2 linked regions of the Notamacropus eugenii genome follow. The protein of the gene in region 1 purifies or fractionates together with the protein of each later gene. This does not show direct contact. Links are inferred from orthologs where the notes say so. Each region holds a gene or a part of one and is shown in the gene's direction. Other genes may lie near its edges. The genes, in order: SCAP and SREBF1.

The links.
Region 2: the proteins of SCAP (region 1) and SREBF1 purify together in Homo sapiens (affinity purification with western blotting; 4 studies listed by BioGRID and IntAct, with this or other methods). This does not show direct contact. The link is inferred for Notamacropus eugenii from reciprocal best matches to the Homo sapiens genes SCAP and SREBF1.

The regions. Positions count from the first base shown.
Region 1 is NC_092872.1:12,532,150-12,548,103, reverse strand, and holds the start of SCAP (sterol regulatory element-binding protein cleavage-activating protein), read left to right. Parts: upstream 1-8,748; 5' UTR 8,749-8,891; intron 8,892-9,678; exon of another isoform or gene 9,679-9,696; intron 9,697-15,954. UniProt on the Homo sapiens protein: Escort protein required for cholesterol as well as lipid homeostasis.
Region 2 is NC_092874.1:335,019,818-335,036,367, reverse strand, and holds the start of SREBF1 (sterol regulatory element-binding protein 1), read left to right. Parts: upstream 1-10,276; 5' UTR 10,277-10,601; coding exon 10,602-10,698; intron 10,699-16,550.

The DNA.
Region 1 (15,954 bases):
AGAGGGAAGAGAAGAGAGAGGGAAGAGGGGCCTTCTGTCCTCTAAGGGCCCCTCAGCGCTAAGAGCGCCTTCAGGCTTTCCTGACCCTACTTAAGCTCTCCCGCTGCATAGTTTGCACGTGAATACCGTGCCTGTTAGACAACAATAGGTGTGCTCAGACCATGGATTAATCTCAAGGGCGGGGATGCTCTTCCCCAGCAAGTTTCCCACGGGGAAGAGGCGGAAATGCACGAGATAGCCCGGGTCTCACACCTCAATTCCCAGCTGTTCCCTGGGGGGCCTCATGAGAACTCTAAGGTTTAGAAGTCCTCACCTTTACCTGCCTGAGACTGTCCACATGGAACTGAGCTTACACCCCCAACATGCATTGAATATAAAGTGTGGGTTACCTGTCTTTAAAGGGAAAGATCTTAACCTGACTCATATTAATTTAGATTGTAGGTCTACTGGTTTTCTTTTTAAAACCTTATGCCAGTTTTCTTCTAATAAATCACAGGACCTGGGTTTTTATAGATGTTCAGACAGTTATTCCAGTTTAAATCATATCCTTAAATATTAGGCAAGTAACATGGTATAGTGGTAGGAGAAGAGCCCTGTTCTCTGTACTGCCAAGTATTTATGAGTGTTACCTTGACAACTCAGTTTCTCCATTTGTAAAATGGAGCACTGGGTAGGACCCTTAGATTTTAGTGAATCCAACTCAATTCAATAAGCACTTACTAAGCATCTTCTGAGTCCAAAGTATCGTGCTTGGTTCTGGGGATACAAATACACACACAAAAGACCCATTCCTGAGCTCCAAGACCTCCCATTCATCGTCTAGGAGAATATAACACGTAAGTACATGATAATCTGGGGAAGGAGAGAGCACTGACCTTTGGAGGGATCAGTTTCATAAGACAAGGAGCATCTGGGTTAAGCCTTGAAGCAAGGCAAGGATTCTGAGGGGTGGAGTTTCAGGCATGTGTGACGGCTGCTTGTGTGAAGGGAAATGTGTGAAGGGAAAAACAACTAAAAAAACAACAGATGAACCTCTAAAAAACTCTGTGGCGGCTGAAGTTTGAGTCCCCCAAACAGCCAGTGGTGTGGTTTGGTTAAAATGTAGACCAGGGGCAGGGAACCTGTTCTCAAGGCCACACGTAGACCATACAGGGAACACGACGAAGTGAGGCTGGAAAGGCAGGCAGGAGACAAGAGTGTGGAATGGCACGCCAAGGCATCTGTTTTGTGCTGGGAGCAAGGAGCTACAGAAGTCTGTTAAGGAAGGAGGGTCATGGTAAGATCTTTATCCTAGGAGAATTTTGGCAGCTGCGGAGAGAGTAGGGAAATGACAGGTGACCAGTCTGGAGGCTATTACAGACATGCAGGTAGAAAGCTATTGGGGTCAGAACAAAACGTAGCTACTGGAGTAGAAATAAAGGGACAGATGAGAGCAATATTGTGGAGGAACTATTTTGGGAAGAGTTAGTAACTAATTAGATTATGGTGAGCAGGTGAGGCAAGGGTCAAGGATGGCTCTGAGGCTGGGAATCTGGGAGGATGGTCACATTCACTTATATCGCTTAGTGCCTCAGTTTTCTCACCTGTGAAATGTGTGGATTAAATTTGGTGGTCTCTAGGTGGCACAGTGGATAGAGTCCTGGGCCTGGAGTCAGGAAGATCTTCCTGGGTTCAATTCTGGCCTCAGACACTTAGTTTCTTCATCTGTAAAATGAGCTGGAGAAGGAATGGTGACTCACTCCAACATCTTTGCCAGGAAAACCCCCCAATGGGGCCATGAAGAGTCAGACATGACTGAAATGACTGATCAATAACAAGGTCCCTTCCAGCTCTGCTCATTTATGATCCTCCCTCCCCTTCTCTCTATACATGTACATTTATACATACAGGAGGAGGGAGGAGAAGGAAGGGGAAACAGACTTGTTGCTATGGAAAGAAGGGCTCAGTTTGAATCCCAGCTTTGCCACAAACTATAGGTTACCCCTTCTGGCCCTCAGTTTCCTCCTCTGTAACTGCTTTGGAACTTCTCCATCATGTCCCAGGGTCAATCCTGGGAAATCTTGTCATCTTGCAGGATCAAGTCGGCCTTGGTCCTCACATCTCATCAGTATGCTCTTCCCCTCACATGATGAGCTCCAAAGTCTCGGTTTAAGGAGGCATCTCCCAATTTCCCACTGGCTGCACTGCTTCTGGACTTCTCCAGAATGCTTTCCTCCCTTCCCCTTTCCTTCTTCCCTACCTTTTCTGTGTTGTCATTCCTATTGGACTGGAAGCTCCTGGAGGACAGGGACCATCTTCCTTTTATTTATATCTGTAGCCTTAGCACTTAGCGCAGTGCTTGGCACATAATAAATGTATACGGACATACATTTGTGTGTGCCTACGTACATACACAGACACAGACTTGTTTCAGTGCTTAGAAAAGGTTGTGTCTAGTCATTGCTTCTACCTTCTCCGCAGTCACACCCTCTTCAACCCTTTCTCTATCATCTACCTCATCACTCATCTGAAATGGCTTTCCTCAGAATTTCCAGTCATCTCTTACTTGCCAAATGTCTTTTCTCAGCCCTCCCCACTTTTTCTTCCCCAATGGTCTCTCCTCTTTGGGTTTTCAGGACACTGCTCTCTCAATCTTCCTTCTGTCTGTCAGACTGCTCCACCTCAGACTTTTTTGCTGATTCATCATCCACAACCACACCCAACTGTGGCTATGTCTTGAATTTTCTTGTCTGTCTGTTTCACCCTCCCTCCCTCTCTTCATCATCTCCCAGAGATTTAATTGTCATTCTTTATGTAGGCGAATCACAGATCTTGACTGATCGATCATTTGATCGATCTATCTACCAATCTCCAGTCCTACTCTCTTTCCCGAGTTCCAGTACTGCATCACCTCTTGCCTTTGGGACATTTCTAACTGAATGTCCCAGGGACATCTCAAACTAGACAAGCCCCAAACAGAATTCAACATCTTCTCTCCAAAACTTACCCCTGTTTCTGGTGAGGCACCATCATTCTTCCAGTCTCTAAGTCTCCTATAACCTCCTAGTCCTCTTTGACTGTTTATTCTCCCTCACAACCAAATATCCAAATCCATCACCGAGTACAACCATTTCTACCTACACCACCTCTCTTCATTTGACCTCTTCTCTTCATACATACATCCACCATTCTAGTTCAGGCTGGCCTCCATTCTATCTCCACTTGGACCCATTCTCCACAGAGCAGCTCTGACTGTGTGATCTTCCTACTCAATAAATTCCCTACTGTCCCCAGATAAAATATTAACTCTTCTGGCTTTTAAAGGTGGTCACAAGCTGTTCCTAATTTGTCTTTCCAGCATCATTCTGCATCACTCTCCTCCTCACACTGGAGAGCCTTTTTCCTCATACACACCTACTTCATCTTCCCTCTTCGTGCCTTTGCACTGGCTGACCTCTTGGGCTTGCTCCCTCACCTCTGATTCACAGAATCCCTCATTTCCTTCAAGATGCAGTTCAAGGAGGGGCAGCTAAGTGACACAAAGATACAGCACTGGCCCTGGAGTGAGGAGGACCTGGTTCAAATCTGACCTCAGACACTTATTAGCTCTGTGTGACTCTGAGGAAGTCACTTATCCCCAATTGCCTCAAAAAAAGAAAAAAAAAAGATATAATTCAAGTACTACCTTCTCTACGAAGCCCAACTGCTACTACCCTTATTCACTTCCTCCATTGTGCTCAACTGCCTTTTATTGATAAGAGAGTATCATATCGAGAGTAGGGATTGTTTCAGTCTTTGTGTTTCTATCTTCAGCACCTACCACAGTGCCTGGCACATAGGAACTGCTCAAAAATGCTTGTTGATTGATTTTGTAAATGGTTCAGTGATCTTATCAATAGGGAAAATCCCTCCACTAATGCAAATTGCAACACATCTGGCCTTCTTTTCTTGTGTGACTCTTGTTCATACTCTCCAGCGAATTCTCCACAGTGAATACACCGAGTGTTCTGGGACCCTTTCTCTAGGTCTTAATATTATTTGAGTCCCACTAAAACCTGTGACCTTTCCCTTTTGAACTTGTAAGAATCTTATCTTTTTTCTCTCTGAATCCCATGACTCAACCATACATTTGTTGACTTTTTCATATTTAGCTATTTCCCTGGGTTTCTGGACTATCCACCTGTTACCCTTTCCTCTAAATACACCTTTTTTTCTGGTCTATCTCTGTGAGGATCTCTCCTACACTGCCTCCTAAGCATGACTCTTTATTGGTTACACATAGCAGCAGCTGCATACAAGCCCAATGTCTTTCTTCTTGGGTGACCTTTAATTTTTAGTCTTTGGAAATCATGATAGGTCATGATTTGTAATCTTTACTAAAGAATACTGGTGTTAAAAAGATGAGTTTGTTTTATGGAAAAACTTCTAGTTGTTTAAAACACTGCACAATCTTCCAAATACAATCTAGTCCACTCTCTTCCTCCAGTTTAATTATGGACCCGGTTCATTTTCCATCTGCCATATTTGTGAAAGTACCTACAAAACATCCTGCTTCTGTGTCCTATCTGTTGCTGGGAAAGACTGTCCATTCTTTATGTAATCCCTCCCTGAATCTCCCTTTTGTGGTTTTCAAGTAGAAACTGCTCCTGCCTGTCCTAGGCATGGGTTCCTTTGTACTTTGTACTGGGGTTCCTCAACACTAGTGTCTGATTTTCCTCCTAATAAAATGTTTGTGTCTTCAGCTCAGCTTGGACTCCTCTGTACTTTGAGGGGGGGCTTTGCCTGGCTGACATATCTGTCCAAGAAATGGACCTACTCTAAGGGCTGTCCTTCCAATTTCTATTGTAATTTAGATAATATACTATCATCCACTTGGTTTTTCCCGAGTAAATTGTTAGTCCATGTTCTTTTGGGTGATTATGAGTTTCACTGGAGAACTTCTGCAGTCTTTCAGGCCCTGATGTAATCAGTGTAATTACTTGCATAAACAAGAGTTCCCTTACAGGAAAATTCCTCTTCAATTTGGACTCCGTACTGGATACCCCCTGCTGTGATGGACAGCCGGCATCCCCATGTGGCTCAGTGACAGCAGGGAAAAAGAAAGACACATAGGCAGGCAGGAGAGGACAGGACAACTCCATTTATTGATAGGAGGGTCAGGGTATTCAGAGACAGAAACTGCAAGTCTACGACAATTTACTCCTCTCCTGTCCTGTCCTAGTAATTTGGCCAGTCTTATTGTCTTAAAGAATGTTAGCTTAAAGGGCATCTATTTTACATATCCCTTGTATTCTGTAGTATTTTGTAGTTCTCTTGTTTATCTCTTGGAGATAGCAACTGGGGGTGGGGGGGTGGGGGGAAGCGGCCCTGGAGAGTCATTCTGGATGGTCATGAGCACAGTCTCAAAGAACAGGTTTCCCGAAGTTCTATCCTGACCTTGCCAACAGCACTCCATCCTAGCCCTCAACACCCTGTGCTACTGGTTAAAAAAAACAAAAAAACAAAACAAAACAAGACAAAACTTTGGACAAGAAAACATTTTCCTGCTTATTTCACATGATTTTAAAAATCAGAGGACTGTTGAACAGTTCTTTCCCCTGTGGTGTCGCTTCAGGGCCACATATGATCCTGACATCTTTGTACGCTTAGTCTAGCTCAGCATTTTTTCTCTCTTTCTTTTCTTTAGAGATCCTGTCTCACATTATTCAGTGAGTCTAAATGTTGTAGCTCCACTGTTTTTGTTGGAGGAAAGGGTTTGTTATAGAAAAACTGTCTGACCTTTAGCAGCTTTCATCGGTCTTACTTGATATTTCATCCTCTACGCTTGTAGGATTAATTAACAAACATGTCTGCTCCTTCATCCATGTCTCACATGATGAAGGGACCTTGCTCCTTCCTTACCAAGGCTAACCAGTTCAAGTGATCCCATTCCATTCCATCTCCTCCAACAGACTGCCCCCTCTGTCATCCTCACTCTTGCACTTATTTTCAACCTTTCCTTCTCTCCTGGCTCATTTCCCACTGCCCATACACATGCTCATGTTTCCCACTGAGCCTGAAAAAAACCTCCCTTGACTTTTCCATCCCTTCCATCATCCTCTTCTGCCCTTAAATGCCTCAAGCCTACAGTAGGTGCCTTCACTTTCTCTCCTCACACTCTTCTTAACCCCTTACAATCTGGCCATTCTGCAGAAGCTACTCTCTCCAAAAATGATCTCTTAGTTGCCAACTCCAGTGGCCCTTTCTCAGTCCTCATTCTCCTTGACCTCTCTGCAGCCTTTGACACTGTTGATCCCCCTCTCCTCCTTGGTTTTCAGGCCGTCACTCTCTCCTGGTTCTCCTACCTGTTTGACTGATCCTCCTCTGGGTTACACCCTCTAATAGGAGATGTCCCTCAAGGTTCTGTCCTGGACTCCCTTCTCTTCTCCCTCTATGCTACTTCACTTGGTGATCTCCTCAGCTCCCATGGATTTCACTGCCATTTCTATGCTGATGCTTCCCAAATCTGCGTTTCTTGACTGAATCTCTCTCCTAATCTCCACCTGCCTTTCAGACATCTAGAACCAGATGTCCAGTAGACATCTTAAATTTACTATGTCCAAAACAGAACTCCTTATCCTTCCCCCCAATACCTGCCCTTAGAGGGCAACACCATCCTCCCTTGGGCTCACAACCCAAGAGTCATCCTAGGGTCCTTTCTCTTAGCCCCCATGTTCAAGCTGTTGCCAAAACCTGTAGATTTCACCTTTGCAACATCTCTCCAATATGCCTCCTTCTCTTCTCTGATACTGAGACGGACCCTGTTGTAGGCCATGAGGCCTGGACTGTTGTAGTAGCCTGTTGGGTGTGTGTCTACCTGCCTCAAGACTCTCCCCACTCCATCTATTCTCCATTCAGTCATGAAAGTGATTTTTCCTATAACACAGGTCCAAACAGTGCTCCCCTCCTTCCCCCATGGCTCTCTATTGTCTGCAGGAGCAAATACAAAATGCTTTGTTTGGCATTCAGAGCCCTTTATAACCCAGCTCTCGTTTCCCTTCCCAGTCTTTTTATACTGCACTCCCTAACACAACAACCAACAACAACTCTTCAGTCCAGTGACACTGGCCTCCTGGAACAAGACCTTTCATCCTTGGCTCTGGGCACCCCCTCTAATAGTCCCCTGGGCCTGGAACGCTCCTCTTCCTCTACTCTGACTACAGACCTCTCTGACTTCCTTGAAGTCCCAACTAAAATCCCATCTCTTGTAGGAAGCCTTCTCCAGCTTCTCTTAATTCTAATTCCTTCCCTCATCCTGCATATAATCTGCTTTGTATGCATTGGTTTGCATGTCGTCTCCCCCACTAGATGGTAAGCTTCCTGAGGGCAGATATCAGAGAGTGGTGAATGGTGTGTGTGTGGGGGGGGAGAAATAATGCCTACCATATTATGAAATCATATTAAAGTTAAACTAATTAAAATAAGGACCCTTGAGAGAGTGCTTCCTCTGTGCCAGGCACTGCGCTAAGGGTTTTCGGACGATGATCTCATCAGACCCTCTTAATAATCAGCCCGGAAGAGGCCTATGCGGGTGCAAATACAGTCTATGCACCGCACCATACCAAGAAGCAGGTGGGTGCGTGGAGCTTCCCTGCAGGTGCGCTCTCCCCCTCGGCTCCCGCAGGTGCGCTCTCCACCCTCGGCTCCCGCAGGTGCGCTCTCCGCCTCCAATGCAGCAGGTGCGCTCTCCCCCTCGGCTCCCGCAGGTGCGCTCTCCCCCTCGGCTCCCGCAGGTGAGCTCTCCGCCTCCAATGCAGCAGGTGCGCTCTCCCCCTCGGCTCCCGCAGGTGAGCTCTCCGCCTCCAATGCAGCAGGTGAGCTCTCCCCCTCGGCTCCCGCAGGTGAGCTCTCCGCCTCCAATGCAGCAGGTGAGCTCTCCCCCTCGGCTCCCGCAGGTGCGCTCTCCCCCTCGGCTCCCGCAGGTGAGCTCTCCGCCTCCAATGCAGCAGGTGCGCTCTCCCCCTCGGCTCCCGCAGGTGAGCTCTCCGCCTCCAATGCAGCAGGTGCGCTCTCCCCCTCGGCTCCCGCAGGTGAGCTCTCCGCCTCCAATGCAGCAGGTGAGCTCTCCCCCTCGGCTCCCGCAGGTGCGCTCTCCGCCTCCAATGCAGCAGGTGAGCTCCCCGCCTCGGCTCCGCAGACCGGCCTCATCAGGTGCATCAGTCCCACGGAGCCGCCGGTCTACACTGCACACACACACTTACCTGTCAGGACACACGCACGATCCACATCGAGGGGACACACACCGATTTATCCAGAGCCCGCCTGCGCTACGCACGTTACAGACACCCGGAGCTGGGGGCTGTGAGCGTCTCCCCTCCACGCTGAGAACAACGAGGCCGCTGGGTCACTTGAGTGACTTGCCCAGGGTCACTCACCGCTCTGACCGCTGCAGGTCTTCCCCGCCCGCCCCACGTCTTAGCCGGGATTCTGGGCGGGAGCTGCAGGTACGCACCAACGCGCCAGGGGGCGCGCGCGAGCCGCCGGGACCACACTTCCAGCCCCGCCCACCTCCCAGGCCCTCCCGAAGCCCTCCGCCTCCCGACTCGTGGGCCCGCGCGTGCGCACGAGCGAGCGACCGCGGGGCCGGGGAGAGGGCGGGGCTGGGGAGAGGGCGGGGCTAGAGGCGCTGCGGAAGCGTGCGGAAGCACGTGCGTGGGCTGGGAAGCGGAGGAGAGAGGAGACTGGGGCGGGGTCGAGGGAGAGTGGGCGGGACGGGAGGAGGGGAAAGGTAGGAGGTGAGAGGTGAAGTGGGAGGAGAGCGGAGTGGAGCCTGGGAGCCGCGGTCCGAGCGGAGGGCGTCCCTCGCGTCCCTCCCTCCGCGCCCGGGGCCGAGCCCAGGCCCTCCCGCGGCCCGCGAGCCGCCGCCGCCGCAGGTAACGTGGCTGCCTCCGCCGGGCTCTAGGCCGCGCGTGGCCCCCCGCCTCCCTCCGCCCCGCGCCGCGGCCCACCTGTGGTGCCGGCCCTTCGCCCCCCACCTGCCTGCCCTCCGAGGGCCCGCCCGGGCGGCCGCGCTCCCCCGCGGCTGGCCCCGGCCGGGCTCCGGGGAGCGGGAAAGGGCGGCGGCGAGCGGCTTCCCGACTGCTCTGCGGCAGCTTCCTCCCCGCCCCCCCCGCTTCCCGGGCACCGAGGCGGGGGACGCGGCATCTTCTTGTCTCCGTGGGAATGCCGGAGCCAAACTTGAGTCGTGTGCGTGAGTGCGCACGCGCGCGTTCGGATGCGTGTTTGCGCGCGCTTCTGTGCGTGTGCACGCGCGGGGGGAGCGCTTCCCGGGCCCCCGAAGCCGCAGGGGGTCCGACGGGCCTCTTCCGGGGGGCTTCGGCCCTCTCTGCCCCCTGGTGTTCAGGCGTCTGGTCCTCTGTGGCACCCCCAGAGTGACGGGCTGGCCCTGGCCGTCATGGGGCCTCCCGCACCGCGCCCGCAGCCACCGCGGCACTCACCGAGAAGCCCTGGGCGCGGGCCCTGACCTCGCGGGGGATGCCCCCCAGAGCAGCGGGAGCCCGGCCCGCCCCCGCCCCCCCGGAGCTCCTGCCCTGTGCCCGGTCACCGGAGGAGGCTGCCCGGTGCCAGCGGCGGCAGGCCGGCGGGGGCGTGGGCATGGGCTCGGGGCTGGGCTCCTCCGAGAACATCCCGCCGAGGTTCTGTTTGTCGTTGTTGTCGCGGGGGGCGCCGTGTTCACGGGTACGTTGCGGGTCAGCGTTAGCGCAGGAAGGGGTGCGGGGCTTTAAGGTTGGACCCCTGGGGTGCAGAGGGTGAACCGAGGCCTGAGTCGCGGAGTCCGGGCCGGTCCGGCCGGGTCTCAGGACCCTCAGAACAGCCTGTCTTCTGTCACCCTTTTAATTGCGTGGGGGTTCCACGGTACTTGCACCGCGCCGCTTTGTGACTAAGTAAACGAGAAAGGAGCCTTGGTGTGGCGAGTGGGGACCCAGAGGCGCAGACTGTGGCGTGCCTGAGGTTATCGATAAGTTGTGGGGATGGGACTTGAACCACACCCGGCATGCTTGAGGCATTGATAAGCCAGGGTTTTCAGTGCTTGGTAAAGCTCTAGGTGGCCATCCCTCTGTGCTTCGTCTTTGAACAAGCGCATTTGTAGCAGTCGTTGGCGGCAGCGGGAGGTCTAGGATTGGTGCCCTGTCTACGGGGTGACCGCTGCAGCGTGCCCTTGCTGACGGGCATCGCCCGCTTGTCTGCTGCTCTGCCCCTCGGTCATGGTTGGAGCCGGGGGAGGGGCTTAGAAGGGTCAGAGGAGGAGACTGAGGTCCGGAGGGACCGCCGCGCAGGGACCAGGGACCGAGCCCTCCGGGCCTTACCGCTTCAGGGCCCTGGAGAACAGAACCCAGAACGACCCAATCCTGGTGCGCGCCTTAGTTGTTCCTTTGTCCGAGGAGGTGCTTGTGGAAGCCGCAGGTTGGTAGGACAGGAGACGGTGCCCAGAGAAGGCAAGTCAGCAGCGGGGGGACCAGGAGGCAGGGCGGCCGTCCGACCTGCCCTGCCGTGAGGACGCTTTACACGCGTGTGTTTGGGGGCTGTGGATCCTCGCTGCTCTAAACCTGGGCGTCTGTCCGTGGGCCGCTTGTCCGGCCCTGTGGCTTGTACTGTGAGTTTTCCATGTTCAGGCTCAGCAGGTAGGTAGCCCCCTGAGGACAAGGAGGGTGTTTTGTCATTTAATGCACAGGCGCATTAAGTACCTGGCCGGCACTCGTCAGGTGCGCATCAGAAAGGGAGCCAGTACTCCGTTGAGGCACGGTGCATACCTGAGAACATGCAAAAGAGAGACTAAAGAATTGCAAGACAATTTGGGGAGCGAGGATACGATGGGCTTGGGGAATTAGGAAAAGCTTCATGTAGACAGTGGCGCTTGAGCTGAGTTTTGAATGAAACGTGGGATTTAGATGTGGTGGAAGGAGTGAGAGGAGTGAGAGAACAGCGTGAAGGCCCGTTTGGCCTGGTTTTAGAATGTGGAAAGGGGAATAACGTGTAATAATGTAGTAAAGTTGGCCAGCTTGAAATGCTAAAGGAAGAGTTTTATCCTAGCAGCAATAGGGGGCCTCTGGAGTTGGAGTTTATTGAGTAAGGGAATGACCAAGTAAAAGCTGCCCTTTGGAAAAGTCTCCCTAGGCAGATCTGTGTAGCATTCATTGGAGAGGGGAGAGACTTAGAGAGACAACTAAGAGGCTGTGGGAGTGGCTGAGATGACGATGGCCTGAACAAGGGTGGTGGCCGTGTGCATAGAGAGGATTTGGGTGTGAGAGATATTGTGGAGGTAAAAATGACAAGATATGGCAGATGAATGTTTTTATTGGAAGGATGGTGGTGCCCTCTACAGGAACAGGAAAATTCTGAAGGGCTCCTAGGGGAGATAGGAAGTTCAGGTTTGGACTTGTTGACTTTGAGATGGGATTAGAACTCAAGAAAGAGACTAAGACTGAACATATAAATCTGTGAGATATCTGCATATGTCTGATAATTAAACCTTGGGAACTTAAGAGGTCACCAAATGAGAGAGCAGGGTGAGTGTAGATCCTTTGTAGACATCCACAGTTAGGGAATTGATCCAGATAATGAACCAAAGAGACTCAGAAGGGGGAGTCAGACAACCAGGAGATAACCAATGACATGAAAACTCAAAGAAAGAGAATTTATTTACTTTTTATTTTATTAAAAAAATTTTTGTGTAAAGAGGTTCCCTTCTCTTTTTATTTTTTTGTTTTAGTTTTCAACATTCACTTTTGTAAGATTTTGAGTTCCGTATTTTTCCCTTCCCCAAAAGGGCGAGTAATCTTATATGGACTATACACGTATAATCATATTAAATATATTTCCATATTAGTCAAGTTGTGAAAGAAGAATCAGAGCAAAAAGAAAAAACCAAGAGAAAGAAAAGACAAAGAAAAGAGTATGCTTTGATTTATACATTCCGATTTCATTCATAGTTCTTTGTGGAAGTGGATAACATTTTCCATCATGAGTCTTGGAATTGTCTTAGATCGTTGTTTTGCTGAGAAAGAGCTAAGTCTGTCAAAGTTGGTCATGGCACAGCATTGCTGTGTATGATATTCTCATGGTTTTGCTCATTTCACTCAGCATTAGTTCATGTAAGTCTTTGCAGGTTTTTCTGAAGTTGCCTGCTCATTATTCCTTATGGAATAATAGCATTCCGTTACATTTGTATACCACAACAGCCATTCCCCAGTTGATGGGCACCCCTCAATTTCCAATTTTTTGCCACCTCGAAAAGAGCTATTATAAATATTTTTGTATATGTGGGTACTTTTCCTTTTTTTTTTTTTTCTGATTTCTTTAGGGTACAGACCTAGCAATGATATTACCAGATCAAAGGGTATGCACAGTTTTATAGTCCTTTGGGAACAGTTTCAGATTCCTCCCCTGAATGATTGAATCAGTTCACAACTCCATCAGCAATGCATTAGTGTTCCAGTTTGAGGTACAGAGGATGATTGGTGGTTTTAAGCGCTCCAGGTGAATCAAGAAGGATGAGGATTGAGGAAAGGCCATCAGATTTGTCAAGGAAGAGAAGACTGATAACTTTGGAGATAGAAGTTTTGGTTGGGTAATGAGATAGGAAGCCAGATTGCAAAGGTTTAAAAAGTGAAATGAGAGAAGAGACAAGAAATAAAGAAAAATTTTAACAGATGTTGATAATTTACAGAACCTGAGTTAGAGGGAACCTCGGATGTCATATAGAACACAACCGATGAATGAATGAGAAGCTTCTTTAGATGAGCCTTAGGAGTAGGCATGTAGGCTGTTTTAGGACTTACAGTGGAGAATTTGCTGTTTCTCAAAGGAGGCAACCAATTTCACTTCTGTACAATTCTAATTTTTAGATGGAACATTTATTAAGAGCTTACTCTGTGCCATACATTTCCTTTTTTTCCCCCAAAATTTGTTAATTTGTTTTCAGTTTTCAACAATCACTTCCATTTCCTTTTTTGTAGAGTTAAAATCATCCTTTGCAACTTCCACACATTGCTTCCATTTCTGCCTGCTAGTGCCAAGTAAGCCCAATTCTTCTGCCACCTAAGTGGTCTTTTCTGCTGGTTAAGGTACGCCTAGTTCCTTAAACCCCTCATATGAGGTGCTTTCCAATTCCCCGACCATTCTGGTTGCCATTTTCCGAACCTACTGGCCTTAAAATTTGTACTTAAAAGTAGACATGATTCTTTAGATTGGGTGACTACCGGGAAGCTTGTCCTTCCCAAAGACTCCTCCTAAAAGAATTCATTTAAGTTTCTACTGATTTATGACAGGCTGATACGATAATCCATATTAATTTTCATTCTCTTCTCTGTCTTTCTAATATAAGACAGGAAACACTAATGAACAAAGAATACCAGCATGCCATGATAAGTAACAGAAGGAAGTACTGAGTACCTGCAGAAGTGGATGGAATTAAGTAATTAATTACATACATTTAAAGTTTTAAATAGCATTTTGGGGGTGTGAAGGGGAAGGGCCAAGGGAGATGATGGCATTTCTGGAGTTGCTGAGGTGAATGAAGAGAAATTTGCTAGGCTAGGAGGAAGACAGTATTAGCATTGGGTACAGCTTAAAAGGAGACTTGACCAGCATATAGGGCTCTGAAGCAAGTTAATTTGTTAGAAGTGATGAGCACAGGAAGAGGGAAGATATATAGCCTAGGATGTAGTGAGACAGGACATTTACATTTGGTGACTTTAAAATTAATCCATGGTTCAGGTCCCAGATCCCAGCCCCTCTCTTACTTCTACTGGTAAGTACATACTTCTGTGATGGAATTAAAGAACATAAACTCTCCTTTTTAAGAAAGACCTTATAACACAATTCAGACCTAAAAGTAACAAACTTGAACAAACCAGTTGCTACACAGAGTGCAGGCCAGGCGAAGCCATTGATCAACAGTTTCTCTCAGATCCTGATAGGATCTCCAGGACCTTGAACTCAAGAGCTTTGGCAACAGTAGGGTCTCCCAGGCTACTAAACTGCTTCTGTTCCAGCCCAGCCCCTACAGTCATCATTGAGGGGAGAAACCATTGTGAAGAAAGAGCTCATCTTCCTTATCCACACCAGCAACAGTTGCCAGCTAATTGCCACCAGTAGGCAGATGATCACATCACTCTCCGTGCTACTGGTCCTGCTTTCAGTCCAGCCCTCACAGCCATCATCTTAGGAAGCAGTTCCTGTGGAAAGGGGGCCAGCTATCCCTACCACCTGCCAACCAACTACTCCCATAGGGCAGGCTGGCCAGCCCAGCTGAAGCAGTAAGCAGAGTGCCCTGGGGAAGTGATAGGGGGCAGCATGTTTCAGGCAGGGCAGGCTTCCACCACCACCATTTAGACCTCCCTCTCCTCTCAGATCCTGGATGGAGACAAATCAAGACCCTGAACCCAAGAGCCTAGGGAATGGTAGTGCTTGAAGCTCCCCATTTGAACTGTTCTCCTGGGAAGCATCCCTGTGTAGGTTGCCACCTGGTAACTGCTCTTGAAGGAGCAGCAGCCACTAAAGGCCTTGGCCCTGTCAAAGGGTTCAGCCTCAGAGATGGATATGATTTGTCAGGCACCCTAAGGATAACAAGAACATTGCATCTTATTTGCAGGTGAAGCTTTCAATGTGTGTTGTCTACCCCATTAGAATGTGAGCTCTTTGGGAGCAGGGCCTGTCTTTTCTATTTGTATTTCCAGTGCATAGCACAGGGTTTTGCACATAGTAAGCATTGTATCATTATTTTATTCTGACTAGGGATTACTTCACAACTGTATACCATGACTGGACAATGGATTTGGTAGAAAAGGGATATGCTGAACCTTGTGCTGATTCAGTTCGATTTCTATTTGGTAGAATCCATATTTTTTAAGTTGGAGTTTAGTCTTACCATCAATATATTTTGGTTTGGTTTCTTTTTCTCTGAATCTCTATACCTTTTATAGATGTAGAGAACTTCCATTGAAAAAATTCCTAACTATAAGTCAGCAACTTTGAGACAGTTGGCTGGGCACTGACAGGTTACATTACTTGCCATGAATCACGTCCCAAGTTTGTGCTAGTGTTGGTGTGTGATCAAGTTTTTCTGACTGCAGAGGCAGCCCTCTTTCCAGTATAACATGCTGCTCCTCAAAACCTGAACTATGTAGTGATTCGAATTATTAGATTAGTGTTACATTAGTTATTAGACTAGTATTAAGACTTTAACATCCAAACTCTTGGATTTTTTTCCTTTTCAGGAATTTAGGATGCTTGATCAAGTAATATGGAAAGGTCCATATGACATTATGGTCCTTAAATCATACTGATAATGAGTCAAATTTTTTAAGTAAGAGAAGTTTTACAGCCATGATCCTTCACTCAAGACTGTATTTTCTCTGGATTATAGTGATGGCAGGTGTCTGAGATTTCTGGAAAACTAAGGAGACTGTAAGCTGCTAATTGAATATTTTAAATGGCAAAGAAAAGTTTTTAAAATTAGATTTTCCAGTAATTGTTTTATTTTAAAAGAATGGGTACAGTACTTTATGAGTATAGTTATTTTACTCAGCACATGCATGAGTAAGTACTAAATGCATTTTTTAAAATACAAATTTATTGATCCCCTGTCAGCCAATTTGCTAGAAAGAACCTGAGTTTTGGTTCTGGCTTTTCCACTTGTGCCTTGACTCCTGTCCTTTTCAAAGATAAATGAGATCCATTCTGAGAAGCATTTTGGAGCTCTTTAGGAAAATATATTTAATTTCAGTAGAGTATTTGTCATACTGTCACAAGAGACTCTGGCATATTAGTGACTTTTCTGTTCCATTAATTTTATTTTACTTCTAAAACATTACTTAAAAAATTTTTTTTTTTTAAATCTGGGTTCCACATTCTCTCCCTCTCTCCCTTCCCCTATCCACTGAGAGAAAGCAAACAATATGAAATCAATTCTGTATGTTAAATCATACAAAACAT
Region 2 (16,550 bases), on another chromosome or scaffold:
CAAAGAAAAGCAGTCCCCACCCTCACAAAGGTTACATTGTAATGGGAGAAACCACATGTAGATAAGTAGGTATGTACAAGATACAAGATTCAATGAAATAACCTTAGAGGAGGAGGCATCAACAGCTGGATGGACTGGGAAAAGACTCCTGCAGAAGGCAACATTTGAGTTGAATCTTGAAGGAAACAACAGATTGTAAGGGAAGAGCATTCCAGACAGGAGTGATAGCCAGTGCAGAGAATGAGACAGGAGGTGAAACTTCAGGTATTAGGAATAACAAGTGGGTCAGTATGGTTTGATGATAGAGTACTTGAAGAGAAAGAATGTGCAAGATTAGAAAGACAGAAAGAACTAAGTTGTGAAAAGTGTTAAATGCCAAGCAGAAACTGATATTTGATCCTAGAGGTAATAGGGAGCCAGTGGAGTTTTTTGAGTGAGGGAGGTGATATTACTGTGGTCTAGGGATGTTGGGAACCCCAAAATTCAAAGGCAAATGATGTAGGTCCTGTCTTTGACCCAAGTCTTCTTTTAGTGAAATACAGGGTTTATTAAAACACCAGTTGGGGTGGGCAAGATCTTAAGAATCCTGCTATTGGCCAGATTTTAAAAATCTGAGCATTTGTATTACTCATGCAAGTAGGCCAGATTCTTAAGGAATCTGAGTACTTTAATGGAGTCAAGATGGACCTTTTATACAAGAAGACTGTGGGAACATGTGGATGTGATCTAGGAGTGGCCAAGTAGTCTTGGGGTGAACAGAGGGGGGGTCTAGATGGAATTAAGGGTGGGAAGTGGTCTGGGGCCTGCCTTTAGAGTTAGAGGTAACAGACCATGAAGGGCTGTACTAGGTTAGAGGTAACAGAAAATTGGAAATTGGGGCAGGGTCAAAGCCACAAAGCAAGCACAGTAGAAAGCATTATACTGTGATGGGCCATGCCCTCAGGGCCATGTTGGAAAATCCAGGGGCTTTTCCTTTTTGGGGTCCAGATCTCATCCCCATCAATATGATTGGACCTACATTTTAATAAAATCTCTTTGGTAGTTGTATAAAAGGTGGATTGGAATAGGGAAGAGATGTGAGGGAATGGAATTAATTAGAAGACTGTTGCAACAGTCCATGGGTGTTGGGAGCAGAGAAACTAAAAGGCCTAAAATTTGCCGTCCCTGTGCCAGCAGTGCCATAACTGCCCCTTACTGGGATGAGCTATCATTGGAGAGAAATTTGGAGTTGAGGGCCTAAAATAAGGTGGTAACCATGTGAGTACAGTGAAGAAGACATATCATCAGAGGTGTTGTGGAGATAGAAAATCAATCTTGGATATGTTGGGGTGACAGTGAGGAGATGAGGATGACAATATGAGTTTGAACCTGAGAGACATGGTACCATCTAGAGAAACAGCGAAGTTTGGATGTGTCCAATAATAGTATACCTTATCAAATTCTTTTTTTTCTTTCTTTCTTTGTTTAACTTTTAACATTCATTTTCACAAAATTTTGGGTTCCAAATTTTCTCCCCTTTTGTCCCCTCCCCCCACCCCAAAACACCGAGCCTTCTAATTGCCCCTATCTGCCAATCTGCCCTCTCTTCTATTAAAATTCTTTACTCAGATCTAAGGAACTTATTATGTCTGACAGTATTCCCCTGGTCTGCCAGTTTTAGTAGCCCCATCAGAGAAAGAAATGAATGGCCAAAGCAAGTTGGCCCTTTGTATTCACCGCTGCCTTTTCTATATGTTTTTCCTTTGACTATTTCTACAATGACTTATTCTAGAATTTCCCCAGGAATCTGTCACGTTCATTGACCTATAGATTTTAGACCCATTTCTTCCCTCTTTTTGAAAATCAGGACACATACCTTTCTCCATCCCTGGAGGTCCCGATCCCCAGTTTTCCAAGTACTGCTGACAATACCTTGGCAGGTGTTTTTTCCCCCCAGGCCCCAGGTCACACCGTTCATCTGGGCCCGGTGACTGGCAGCTCCTGCAACTTATGTAACATTCTGGGATTCTGCGGTGGGGAAGTGGATACAATACAGGCTTAAAGGTTACAATCTTGCCTCAGACACTCATCTAGCTACCGGAGGCTGGGCAAGTTACTTAACCCGTCTGCCTCGGTTTCCTTATCTGCAAAATGGGGATAAAAAGAGCACTGGGAACAAGGGAGTTATGCGCAGCGATGGAGACGCTGGCGCACCACATAAACGCAAGCTATTATTAGGAATGACGGCTGTTAGGATTCTCTGGGGAAATGATCCAGGCGAGGCCCGATAAGCCTCCCCGGGATGGGGGTGGGGCGGGGAGAGGGGCCAGCCCCTCCCAGGCCAGGTGCACTGCGGCCCCCAAGCCGGGCCACGCGTCGGACCGGGACAAGCCTGCCCTCTCTAGGGCGCGGGGGGCATGTGACCCAATGGCCGGCTTCCCGGGAGGATTACATGAGGTCACCGCCGCGCCGGGAGCCGTGATGCCGAATCACTCCACTGCGGCCCCGCACGCCTATTGGCTGCTCCTCCCTGGTTCTACGGGCGGGGATCCTCCCCCTCCCCCTCCTCCGGCGCTCGGGAACCAAACTTTGCCAGGAAAAAAAAGGTCTAGCCTCGAGCCCGCCCATTGGCTGGTGCGGCCGTAGCCCCGCCCCGCCCACACGAGGTTCGGCTTAGCCTGGCTCCGGGCGTCCCGGAAGGCTCTGGCTGGCAGTAGGTGTGGGAGGCTTCCTAGAAACCTCTATCTCCTCCTCCCTGCCCCCAGCTTCAGGACGTGGGACTCTGTAATTACCTCAGTAAACTCTCCACTCTCCCCCATGCGGGGAAGGAGTTGAACTCTCTCCTCACCCCAGATTTTGGAATCCCTGGCTTACCGCAGTGACCCACAGGGGCACCCCCTTCTGTATGGAACCTTTCCCGATGCTCCCGGCTGGGGCTGGATCTCCCCGAAGCCACCTTGAATTCATTAAGTCCCACCTAAAACCCCGCCTTCTATAGGAAGCCGTCCCCCGACCCCTTTCCATTTCCAGCCACCTCCCTCTTTTAATTGTCCTATCTGTCCTGTACATAGCTTGCTCCGGATGCTGTGTGGTCTCGGCCGTTAGATTGAGAGGGGAATGTTCTTCTTGCCTCTTTTGGTGTATAGCACCGTGCTTGGCTCAGAATAGGCGCTTAATAAATATATCGATATATTCTATATGTATGCTTCTATACGTACATGCTGTCTGCCTGGGTTAGAATCCCTAAACGAAGGTCCCCGGTATCCATAACACCACGTCATGCACAGGGTAGGCACTTAGTAAGTGCTGGGTTATTGAAAGCCCTCCCCATTTCCAAAGCACTCTTACGTCTCATTTGTCCCCCAAATCTCCATTACGCTCACTTTACAGATATGGAAACAAGCCCAGAGAGGAAAGTGACCAAGGTCAAACAGCACCCTGTGGTCCTCAACCTCTAGTTCGAATATCTTTTATGCTATGGGCGCTCTCTACGGGCCCCTGCCTCTTCTAGCTCACTCCCGGCTTGGAGGGAATAGGTACTTACTGACTGAGTCCTGCGTGGGAGCAGGGCTATATGGCAGTGTCCTTGGAACACCAAACATGTCCTTGGTTGCCCACAGCTAAGAAAGGTTGGGCACTTCTTACTTCAGTGTTTCCCTTCCCCACTCCTAGATGCTAGGGCCTCCTCTCCTCCCCTCCCTTCTTCTCTGCTCTCCTCTCTTTTCCTTCTCTCCTTCTCCTTTCTCTCTTCTCCACCCTTCTCTCCTCTCCTGTCCTCCTTTCTCCTCTTCTCCTCCCTTCTTCTTAGCTCTCCTCTCTTATTCTCTCCTCCCCTCCTTCCTTTTCCTCTTCTCTCTCTCCTTCTTTCTCTCTTCTCCTGTCCTCTAGTCTCTTCTGTTCGGGCTGCCAGTTAACCAGCCCTAGACCCTTGTACTTTGGATGTTTCCCAGATTTTAGGGGACATAATAGGGTGGGGTGGGGCTCTTAAGGGCTTCACCCTCACAAATATTTGATCAGACGATGGGAAGTAGGAAATTGCATCAGCCCTGATCTGGGCTGGGATGTATCTCTCTGAAGGATTTCAAAGTCTCTGCAAATCAGAGTATGTTCCATTGCCATCCCAGGGAGGTGAGAAAGCTGCTAAAAGACCTAAAGCCCGAGAACAAGAATACCCTTGGAGAAATTTAAATGGAGAAACGTCCTCTTCTGTTACTTTTCCTCCCTTTCAGTTGGAGAGGGAGGGAGGGAAAGGGAGAGTGAAGACCCTACACACCTCCTCATGCTCCACCCTGGTGCCAGGCATCCCTAGATTATTCCTATCTGAAAAAGGTCTGATGTAGTACAGGCTCAGTCTTGCTCCTCCTTCAAGGGTGTCTGCCTGTTGATCAGTGGGGGGAGGGGGGTGAAATAGATATTTAGTTGGTGAAGAGGTCCTTCCCAGCACTCCTCAAATAACACCTGTGTGTAAGGTGTCTCGGCTTAAAATGGGTGGTCTTCAAACAGAATTACATACTTCCACCATACTTCCCTACTCTGTGGCTGTCTCTAAGCAGAGTTATAGAGAGGGATGCTTCTTAGATCTTAAAATCTTCCTACCTTTTTCTTCTCCAAAGATACTCCTTGCTCATCCTGTCTCCCTCAACACTGCACATGCAGTCATCAGCTGTTTAAAAGTATAACACTATGTTGTTCAGTTGCTTCAGTCATGTCTGATTCTTTGTGACCCCATTTGGGGTTTTCTTGACAGAGCTACTGAAGTGATTGGCCAGTTCCTTCTCCAGCTCATTTTACAGATGAGGAAGCTAAGGCAAAAAGGTTTAAGTGACTTGCCCAGGGTCACACAACTAGTAAATATTTGAACTTGGGACTTCAGGCCAGTGCTCTATCCACTGGCCATCTAACTGCCCATATTTTAAAGTATAACACTTCCTGTAGAAGGAGGGACTTGAGAAAGTTAGTTCATATGTGGAACTTCAAAATTACAATCACATTATTTGATTAGCTTGGCACGGATTTAAAGCATTAAATCTCTTCCAAATTCTTCCTGCTGTCACCGCCCTTACAATAAGAAGACTTTACCTTCTGCTCCAACCACTGTCCTTTCTTGCCTCTTCAGCCTACTGTCTCTCGAAGGGCCGTGCTGTTTCCTCTCAGATCTTCACAACTCTGGAGTAGCAGGGTCCATCGGTCAATCAATAAGCATTTATTAAGAGCCTACTATGTGCCAAGTCCTGTGCTAGACATCGGGGATTCAATGACAAAGCAAAACAGTCCTTTCAAGACCACTGCCTTTACCTTAGTTAGAAATAGCTATTTTCATAGTTATCTGAACTCTGACTTGACTGGTATCTCCAGGATTCCATAAAGAAATTCTCTGACTAGCACCCTGAAGATGGGCCTTCCATCTTAATTGGCAAACCCTGGTGGCTATTGTTATTTCACTTTTCTAAACCTCCCATGGTCACTCATGAGCCTGCTGGACTGGATGTTAGCTAAGATTCCTTTCAGAACTAAGATTCTACTCAAAATCCAAGTTTGCTTCACAACTAAACACCATCTGGGTGAAATGACTGGTTTAATGTTATAAATTTATTCTGTTATCATCATTACCATATCCATATGGTTTTCTACTCTGATTCTGAGGGAGGTAATAGTTTGCTATAGTTGGTCAGATGGGATTACTGTCGTAGCCCTTTTGAATTGGCAGCCAAGTCAGAATCTGTTAGGAATTTGGCTCTAACATCAACAACAGAAATAAGTGAATACATGCTAACAGTAAACCTAGGGATATGAACCAGCATTGGGGGCATTTAATTGTCTTTTGGGAGGTAAAAGGGTGACGATATATTGTCTGCTTTAGTTTTTTTCTGTAATGAACACTAAAAAAAATTTTCGTATCCAAAGTAGAACAGGAAAAGAATACCTGTAAGAACATGAATCTATTACACACACACACTAAATTCAGCATGTTATTTTCAAAGCTGTCCTGCTTACCTCTTGTTTCTTTCTGAACTGCCTTTTAGGTACTTCTTTGCATTTAAAAAAAAATGCTTCAATGAACCTCTTTCCTTTCCTTTTTTTTTTTAGGAATAATATTACCAGATCCCTTTTTTCCTACCTAAATCTCCCCTCTCAAAAAAAAAAAAAAAAGGAAAACATAATCCTTGTAACAAATAAGCATGTGACTACATATTTTCAAAAATATGTTCCACATTCCCTTGTCTGAAAGGCTACATAACCTGTTTTTTCAATAAGCTTGAGAGAGGCAATTTGTCTTTAAGAACAAGCACAGGTTCTGCTCATTTCACTTTGTATCAATTCATGTAAATCTTCCCAGATTTTCTGAAAGCATCTTGCTCTTCATTTTTTTTTTCTTTTTTGCAAGGCAATCAGGGTTAAGTGACTTGTTCAGGGTCACACTGCTAGTAAGTATCCAGTGTCTGAGGTCAAATTTGAACTCAGGTCTTCCCGACTCCAGGGAAAGTGCTCTAACCACTGTACTACCTAGCTGCCCTTCATCATTTCTTATAGCACAATAGTATTCCATCACAAAGACAGCTACCTGGCAAAATGGATACAACCATGGACCTGGAATCAGGAAGACCTGAATTCAAATCTGACCTTATACACTTAATAGCTGGGTGACTGGGGGCAAGTTCATTTAATGTTGTTTGCCCCAGTTTCCTCAGCTGTAAAATAAGTTGGAAAAGGAAATGGCAAACCACTCTGGTATCTTTGTTAAGAAAACCCCATATAAGGTCATGGAGAGTTGGACAAAGATGAAAAGACTGAATAACCACAAATTCTATCACAATCATATACCACAACTTGTTCAGTCATTCCCCAACTGTGAATGACAGCTATTCTCAGGAATACAATGGTCCCAAACAATTCTGAAGGCCTTATGATGTAAAATACTACCTGCCTCCAGGTAAGGATGGTGTATGAATGCAGATAGAAACATACTTTTTTTGGCTTTCTTTGTTATTCTTGTTTTTTTGATCTGTGTATCTTTGTTTTGCAAGACTACACATTTATAATCTATATCAAATCACAATTTGAAACTCAAAATTAAAAAAAATGTTGAAAATTTTTACTTAGATATAATTGAGAAAAAAATAAATTTAAATTAAATTTAAAATTCAAATAATTTTTTAAAAAGATAAGCACAGGGACTGAAATGTGAATGTCAGTAGACCTAGCTTCTATACTGACTTCCTGAAACTTTCCATGCTTTGGTTCCCTTGTCAAATAAATGGAAATAATATTCAATATCTCTCGCAGAAGGTTGCAGTGAGGACAAGGGACATGTTGGATGAAGGTGCTTTGAAACAATAAATGTTACGTATTACTGTATAGGAATCTGTGAACCAGATGGGAGCTCGGGCTGCCATTGATATATACCTCCTTTCTTTGGCCCAACAGGGATGAAAAATGCAATGTGTACTTATAACTGCTTGTCAGATGAAAACCAGATTATGTATAATGCCTTTCAACTCCTTCAGATCTACCCTTTCCCCAGACTGGGAGTGACGTGAGAAGAGCCCACCCATTTCAAGCTTTTCAATTAAATCACTCAAGATTTTTTTCCTACAGGGTTGAAGCCATCCAGACAAATGCTTCAGGACTTTTGGCCCACTAACTATTGATTATTAGCCCCGCTCTGGGTCCTGAAAGAAGGGAGGCTAGAACTTGTTTACATTTACCACAATCCAAATATCAACTAAGTATTTACTAGGTGACTGTATTCAGTACATCCTAGACTGATAGAAATGAAATGGTGACAAAAATGAAATAAAAGATAAAATCTGTCCCTCAAGAAACTTGCCAATTAGTTAAGAAGACATGCCCAGTAAAATGATACCTTATTAATACTTGAAAAGATCTATGATTTCTTTTGCATGAAACACAGACTCCACTAAGCCAGAGGCAGATGTTGGAATCCCTCTACACCTTTCATTAGATTTTGTGAGGAAAGAAACCTTCACTTGGTGGCCAGTCTTCTGTTGTGGACCCTCTCCAGATTTAACTAGGCTGGTCTTCCGGAGGCAGGCACGCAGTCTTTGGATCCCCCATCAACAAGGCCTACTTTGATAGTAGCTTGTCTGTTCCTCTGTGGTACCTAGAACCCAGAATCACTGACACACCAGGATGAGGCATTAAAATGAGACTTTACTGTAAGAATAAAACAATAAAAAGGTGAAGATGAACACAAGTGCAAAGTTTTATCCAAATCTGATAAAAAATCAAATGTTAACCTGTATCATAGAAGGAACCAATGCCAATCATTAAACATTTATGCCATGTGCCAGGAATTGTGCTAATCTATGGGAATACAAAAAAGCAGTAAAAGATAATCTCTGACCTCAAAGAACTTGCAGAATAATGTGGGAGGCAATATACAAACAAATATCTACAAAACCAGCTTTATCCAGGATAAGCAGGAAATAATTAACAGAAAGAAGGCACTAGAATTAAAAGGCAGTGGAGAGGGCTTCCAGTAAAACATAGGATTTTAGTTGGGACGTAAAGAAAGTCAAGGAGGTTAGTAGGTGGAATGGAGGAGGGAGAGGGTTCTAGGGCCTGGGCATCAACTATAGACGCAGCTGAGATAAAGATTTCACCCACTCCTTATTTTTTTTCTTTTTCTGAGACTATGTCTCCCTATCTGTCACCTAGGCTTCTGACCTGCAGGGAACCCTGGCCCAACCTTCTGCTGGACCCTCTTTAGGCAGCCTGATGCCACCCACCCTTCCTCTGGATTTAACCATATATGTTAGACACATTTTCTAATAGGCCTTAGACTCTACAGCAGCTCAGAACTCCCAAACCCAACTGATCCTTCAGTCGCAGCCTTCCCAGTGGTAGAGGATAGAGGCATGAACCTCCAAACCTGATCAACTTAGTTTTACAGATTAAGCACCTGAGGCCTGGAGTGAAGTGACTTGCCTAAAGTCAGACTGGTAGCAATTCTATTTCAAGCCCAGGCTCTGGGACTCCAATTCCTCTAAGACCAGAACCTAGTCATCCACCCCACCTCTTCTCCTGGCCTCCCCATCTGTGGTCACTTCCCTCCCTGGGTCTCACTTTACTCATGGAGAGGTTGGATTAGAGCAGGTTTTTTTTTTTGGTTTTTTGGCATTCTTAAAATTACTGAGGACCCCAAAGAACTTTTGTTTATGTGATTTATATCTTTTGATAGTTGCTGTACCAGAAATTAAAACTGAGAAAATCTAAATGTTTATTAATTAAAATAACAGGCCTATTACATGTTAACACAAATCACATTTGTTTTATGAAAAATAACTATATTTTTGAAAACAAAAATATTCCGTGAGAAGACTGGCATTATTTTACATATTTTTGCATATCTCTTTAAATTCTGGTTTAAATAGAAGACAGCTGGATTCTGATCTCCGCCTTGGCATGAATGAAGCATGTTGGTTTGTTCTTCACATATGAAGAAAATCTGGCCTCACACAGATAAGTAGCTGGAAAAGGCAAGTACATTGTAATAGACAAATAACTATGATTATGAAAATGGCTTTGAACTGGGGACTCCCAGGTAACTGTCTTCAGACCACACTTTGATAACCACTGGATCAGACCCCAAGTTAAAAGTAGGAACTGGCAGTGAAGGTGGGGCAGGAATATGGACAGAGTCTTGATCTGCCAGTCTGGATGGCATCAGCTCGGTTCCTTTCAACCAGGCTCCAGGTGACCTGCTCCACCTGGATTGGTATGGGGAAAGCTGGCTGATCTGGTCCCTGATTCAAAAGAGAATTTTTACGTCTGAGGACAGGCTAAGCGTCCAGGGAAGCTGCAAATACAGGGCGGTCACAGTCAGCCTGGCATCTCCATAAATTCGGGGACCGAGGGGTCTGTGCGCCAGGGCTTCCCTGAGGGGGAGGGTGCCAACCAGGCGAGCTGTCCCCCCGCGTCGGGGGCCCCCTCAAATCCTCCAGCAGACTTCGGCCTCGAACCCTGCGGAGTGGCTCCGCACTTGGCAGAGCTAGGTGCGCCCTATACCTGGTCGCTGCCCAGAGAGCCCCTCACCCCACGCTCCCCCCAGGTCCAGCCTCCCGGCTCCACGTGGTCCCCAGCAGCGGACTGGCGCTGCCCAGGCCTTAGGTAGCCCCGTTCCTCGGCTCCTTCCTCCGCTTCGGAGCGTCCCTAGAGGCTCCGAGTTCGGGATGGGGCTGTCACTCAAAAACTGAAGGGCGGGGGGGGGGGGGGGGGGGGGGGGGGCAGGATGGGGTGGGGTGGAAACACCCGGCGCCGATGCCCCGCCCCGCGCCCTCTCCCTCCCCTCCCCCTCCACGGGGCAGTTAAGCTACCAACTTTTAGCGGGTATGGCGCCGGGGGCGGGCGGGTGGCGACCCTGGCACTAACTTTGTTTCAGGAACTGGGCGAGGCCACCAGCCGCCGGCGGGCCTGGGCAGAGTTCGGGGCGTGCACGGTTAGTCCTCCGGAAAGCGCGCGGTCCATGGAGCAGAGCTAAGGGGAGGCTCAGGCAAAGGCGCGGTGCGTGGAGAGGAACGCCACCAGCCCGGAGGAGGCGTCTGGGGCCGGCGGGCGGGACGCGGCGGCGGCGGAGCTCCGGGCTCCCTCCGGCCGCCACCATGAACGACCTGTCCTTCGACGAGGCGGCCTTGGATCCCTCCCTGGCCCTGGGCGAGGCCAGCGACATCGACTCGGCTCTGCTCAGTGACATCGAAGGTGGGTCCCGGGGAGGGGCGCGTGGGAGCCCGGCCGGGAGGGTGGGGGGGGCGGTGATCGGGGCAGCCCTCCGGGATCCTCAGCCTGGCTGGGCTGGCCCCGGGCGTCGAGGGGGAGTGTGTATGCGTGCTTCCGCGCGTGTCTGCGGCTCGGGATTCCGCGTGTGGCTGTGGCGTGTGTCTGAATGTGTTCGTGCCTGTCCGCGGGCACCGAGTCCCAGGATGCGCGCACAGTTGGGGACTCGCCGTCTGGAGGCACCCGGGGAGACCCAGACCCTCCCCCCTCCCCGCCGCGGACCCCTTCCCCAGCAGCTGTCCGGCCCGGGGGGACTCGGTCCTCCCCCTAGAAGCGGCCACGCCTCTTCGGGCCGCGGAGGAGCGAGGGGCTCCCAAATGGTGCGGCCCCCAAGCCCCGCCCCCCCGAGGGCCCAGGAGCTCGTGACGTCAGCGTCAGCCAGAGAGGTTACCCCCGGTCATTCCCTCGGCCCGCCAGAGTTCACTGAGCTCTGCTGGAGCCTGCAGTGGGAGGGGAGGTGGGGGGGAAGGGGGAAGCGGGGGGAGAGGAGGGGGAGAAGGGAGCAGGAGACGGCCCTGCCCTCCGGCGCCCAACAACTCTGCCCTTAGGAAACCACCCAGAAAATATCCCAGAATCTAGCCTGGGGTTTTCTTAGCAAAAGCTAACCCGGGTGCTCTGACCCATCCACGTGGAGCTTCTGATAAGCCTGTGACTGGGAGAAGGAATTGGCCTTGAATTATCCGTTCATGCAGCCCTTTTAAGCTTTGTAAAGCACATTACTTAAACCTTCTTGTTTAAGTGTGTACAACCTGTAGTCGGTTGGTACTACAGGTATTGTGCTAATGGAGAAACTGAGGCCAGTGAGTCACGGTAGTGAGTGTAACAAGTGCGATTCTCAAACTCAGTTCTCCTAACTCCAAGTGCAGGGCTCTTTCTTACTCTGTATCAAAATGCTTGTTTTACAAGGTAGACCGCCTTCTGTGGGCAGTAGGAAATCCATCTTTCTATCAGTCCCTTTTATAGAGAAATCTTGCTCTGAAGGGGGGATATTTACCCCTAGAATCTTTCCTGACAGAAAACTGTACTTTTTCCTTCTCAGGGCCAGAATTATTTTTCATAAATTGAGGGATTGAGGCACTGATTAGTGAAGTAGGAATGGGGTAGATTAGAGTATATTAGTGAGAGATCGCTTTCTTTTCCAGAAGATTCATTCATTCAACAATAAACTTTTTATGTAAGGTCTACTGTTAGATAATAGTGTGTACAGAGCATTCTGCTGATGGGAGTGGGGGCTGCAGGGAAGGGACAGAGAGAGACAGAAAGTTTAGATGAACATTGATAGCTAGCTGCTAGGTCTGGAGTCAGGAGGACCTGAGTTCAAATGTGAACTCAGACAGTTATTAGCTGTGCGATGCTGGGTAACCCTATTTGCCTCAGTTTCTGCAATCTGTAAAGTGGAGCTGGAGAAGGAAATGGCAAACTACTCCAGGATCTTTGCCAAGAAAAGCAATGGGATCATGAATGGTAGGACACACCTGAACTGCAAGGATAGCTAGCAGTTATATGGGCTTTAAGATTTGCAAACCTGTTTACAAATATCACCTCATTTTATCCCCACTATAATCCAGGGAGATAGGTACTATTATCATCATTTTACAAATGAGGAGACTGAGGCAAAAAGGTTTAGTGGCTTGCCCAAGGTTACCTAGATGATAAGTAAGAGACCTTTCTTGACATTGCATGGATCCCAGTGGAACAAAAAGGCTTCCCATTGATTATTCAAATAATAATATCCAATCTTACAATCTAAATAACTTTTCCTGTTCCAGTGTATACTCTGCATAGCTGCCAAATGGATATTCCCAAAACCTAGGTCTGACCATGTCACTGCTGTACTCCTGTAGAGCACCTTATCACCTCCAAGATTAAATAAAAACGTCATGTAAAGGTCTTTTCAATTTGGTACCTTCCTGCCTTTCCAGCATTCTTCACATTACTCCCCTCCACAAACTGTATTTTCCAGCTTCCTCACACATGACACTGTATCCACCACCCGGTGCCTGGAAAGCCCTCCCTCCTCCCCTTCAGTTCTTAGCATTACTGTCTTCCATTAGGTCTTGGCTCAGATCATGTCATCTCAGCCTCTAGAGCTGTTCCCTCTAATCCCTCATGGACTCTATGTAGCATGTCTTTCCACATTTATGTATGTATCATTACCCTCGTTCAAATGTAACCTCCTTAAGGACAAAGACTGTTTTTGCCTTCTCTTTGTATCTCTGGATAATATTTGTAAAGCACTTAACCACAGTGCCTGGCACATTGTAACAGGTAAATACAATCTTGTGTATTGCTGGACTGATTGATGAGGGTGAAAGAAAAGTGTAGATGAAGTACTATTAGACCTCAAAGTACAGTCAAGGTGTCACTTTCATTTGGGCATGAAGAGTTGAGTTGAACTTTAAAGAAAGAGAGGAATTAAGTGGACAGTTTGGGGTTGGAAAAAAACTCCCACCCATGCATGGAGACTACCTTGAACAAAGGAGATTGAGGTCAAGGAGGAAGGAAATCAGCATTTATTAAGTGCCCATTAACTAATTAATTAATGTGCCTAGCATTGTGCTAAGTACTTTACAAATAGCATCTGCATATAACGTAATGTATATAATATATGTTTGCATATGATATAAATAATGCTCATTTAATGCTCACTACCATCCTGGGGAGTTAGATGAGGAAGCTGGAGGCAGGTAGAGTGACTTGCCCAGGGTCACACAGCTAGTGTCTGAGGCTGGATTTGAATTTAGGAAGATGAATCTAACTGATTCCCAGCCCTGTGCTCTATCCATTGCATCCCCTAGGTGCCCTAAGAATATGATAGCACTGGTGATAGTTTGGAGAGGGGATCAACTGAAAACAGGAGTAATTGAGAGGCTGTTGCAATAATCTAGGTAAGAAGAGGTGACCACTTGGCCTGCGGTGGGTGACTGTGATATTGGAGAGGTGGAGCCAGATGGCGAGAGAAGTTTCTAGAAGGCAAAATGGATCAGACTTGTCACCTGATCTTAGGGATCTGAGCCATCAACTGGCCAACCCCCATATTTTACGAAGGAGGAAATGGAGGTCCAGAGGCCTCATGACTTTCCTGAGATCACACATTTAGTAAGTTAGCAGAGCTAAGGTTTGAACCCAGGATTCTTGACTCCAAAAATGGTACTTTTCCTGCTACTCCAAAAGGGAGGGAGAATGAAGGAAAGAGAAGAGTCCAACATGACTGCTAAGTTATGACTCCAGGTGGCAGGAAGGTGATGTCATCAGCAGAATTGGGACCAAAGCTGACTGGAGGAGAAGGATGAGTTCAGTTTGCTGAGGTCCCAGGTAACAGTGCTGGAAGGTCAGTGACAACTGGAGTTCGAAATACATTTGTATTGCTTCCTTGATTGATTGATGCGAGATTTATTTGCATAGAGTTTAAAGTTGAAACTGTGGAGTGGATTCTCTGGGGGAGAATCTGGAGAGGGAAGGACTGAGGGCCTAGTGCTGCTAACATTTAAGGAGGAGCTGGCAAAAGTTTCCTAGGAATGGTTAGGGAGGTTTGTTTGGGAAGAACTCAGCTTCTCTGGAATCCAGGTGGGAGGAGAGGATATTTAAAAGGAGGGAATGGTCTACTCTGGTCCAGGATAAGGAGGGGGAAAAATGCCTTTGGATTTATGGATAAGGAGGATGTTGAATGACCTTGGAGGGAAGAGCTTCTTCACCATGGTGGGAATGACTTCAGATTGCTAAGGGGTTTAGGTATGAGTGGGTGGAGAGAAAGGGAAAGCAGGAGAATGGATAACTCCTTTAGGTCTCAGAGGAGGGAAACAGAAAGATAGCCTGAGAGAGTGACAAGTTCCCAGGAAGGGCCCTGGGTGAACCAAATGGAGGAGAGTTGGGTGTGACATGGAAGTAGGCTACTGGAAGGACTGGTGATGGGGGTCGAACTCTTATTTCACTCACTAAATAAGATATAGATGGAGTTTTTATAACTCAGACTTTCTTAAATGTGCAGAAGACACTTGATATTTGAAGGAATCTTGGGTGAGATAGTTTGAAAGTGAGGAGAAAACAAAAAAGTGAAAAGGGGAGAAGAAAGTAAAGAGTATTGAGTTCTAGAGGTTATCTACACCAAGGTTTCTCGGTGACCTCAGGTCCCATGGGTTCCCTTATTCCCATACCCCTATGTCCAATCTCTGTACTAGTCCTACATCACCTATGGAGCATTTCCCTTTGAATAACATGGAGACATGTTCAATTCAGACTGTTCAAAGAGAACTCATTATTTTCCTAAAATTCTATTTTTCTATAAAAGGGTACCACTCTCCTTGATCTGGCCCCTGAGGCCATAAGCCTTTCATTTTAGCTTTGTCCAGTTGCCCCCGGCTGTTTCCCACCCTTGATCCTTTCAAAATATATATGCCCAAATTTGTTATCCTTAAGCTAACCTAGCCCTCCTTTGTTTCCATCCAGACCCTACCTAAACCCCTTCTCCTTTCACCCCAGACTGTTTGGCCACCCCTAGATCTCTCCCACAGTCTTTTAGTATATAGGATCCTTCTTATCTACCTGCAGGCACTCAGATTCCATCTAGCTCAGATTCAGTCTTGCTGGTTTGTCAATACAAGCATCACAAATGGTGAGGCTTCTTAAACCTCTTCTTCTACCCAGTATGGTGGATCTTTAATAAAACTTTGTTTTATTTTGGCTGAAAGAAGGCTTGGGTGGAATTCATTTGGCAGGACCTGGGGTGTTGGTATTTTGGGGTTCTGAGCATCTCTAAACCCCTAACCTCAAAACCTCCATTCTTCTAGTCCCCCAGGTTCACAAGGTTAGCATTATCCTCCATGTCTCTATCTCATTCACTCCACATATCCTATCCATTGCTACATCTTGACTTTTCTGCTTCCACAACTTGGCTCGATTAGATCCACTTCTTTATAGTCATGCAGCCAGTATCTTCTTTCAAGCTCCCATCCAGTGCTGTGCAAAAGCCAGCTCTGATGGCTGGTGAGAGCTGACTGGTACATTTTCAGTGTGAGCATTTACACTTTGGAATGCTATAAATAAGTAAATTCTATAAATATAATAAATTGAAAATTAGGGTATTCTTCCTGTTATATAAAAAATAAGTATAATAAATAATATGCATATAAATGGTATAATAATAAATATAAGTAAATGCTATAAATCAGGGCATGATTGTTTTGACGAGTGTCTTGATTGAAGAAAGTGATGGAAAAAACATTAATAATGCAGATTAAACTAAAAAATATGTCATGTGTAACATTTATCAGTATACTCCTGATTTTCTGGGCTATTGAAATGACTCCCTAATTGTGTTTCCTGGACAGAGGACCTGGGCCTGGGGTCAGGAAGACCTGAATTCAGATTTGGCTTCAGATACTTACTAGCTGTATGACTCTGGACAAGTCACTTAACCTCTCTTGCCTTCTTTAAAATAGAGATAATAATGACACTTTCCTCCCAAGGTCCTAGTGTGGATTAAATAAATCCATTTTTGTAAAGCATTTTGCAAACTTTGAAGTGGTATATAAATGCTAAATGTTACTAAAATTGTTTCTCCCTTTTTCTCTTAAGCGCAGGTCTGAACCATGTCATTCCTCTACTCAGTAAACTCCAGGGGCTTTCTGTTGCCTTGGGTATATATAATGTGGACTCCTCCTTTTGGCTTTTAAAAGCCCTTTACAGCCTGGCTCCAACTTGTCTTAACAGCCTTGTTCCACATTATTCTGTGGTCCTGCCAAACTGGCCTTCTTCCTCTTAGTCACATGACAGTCCTA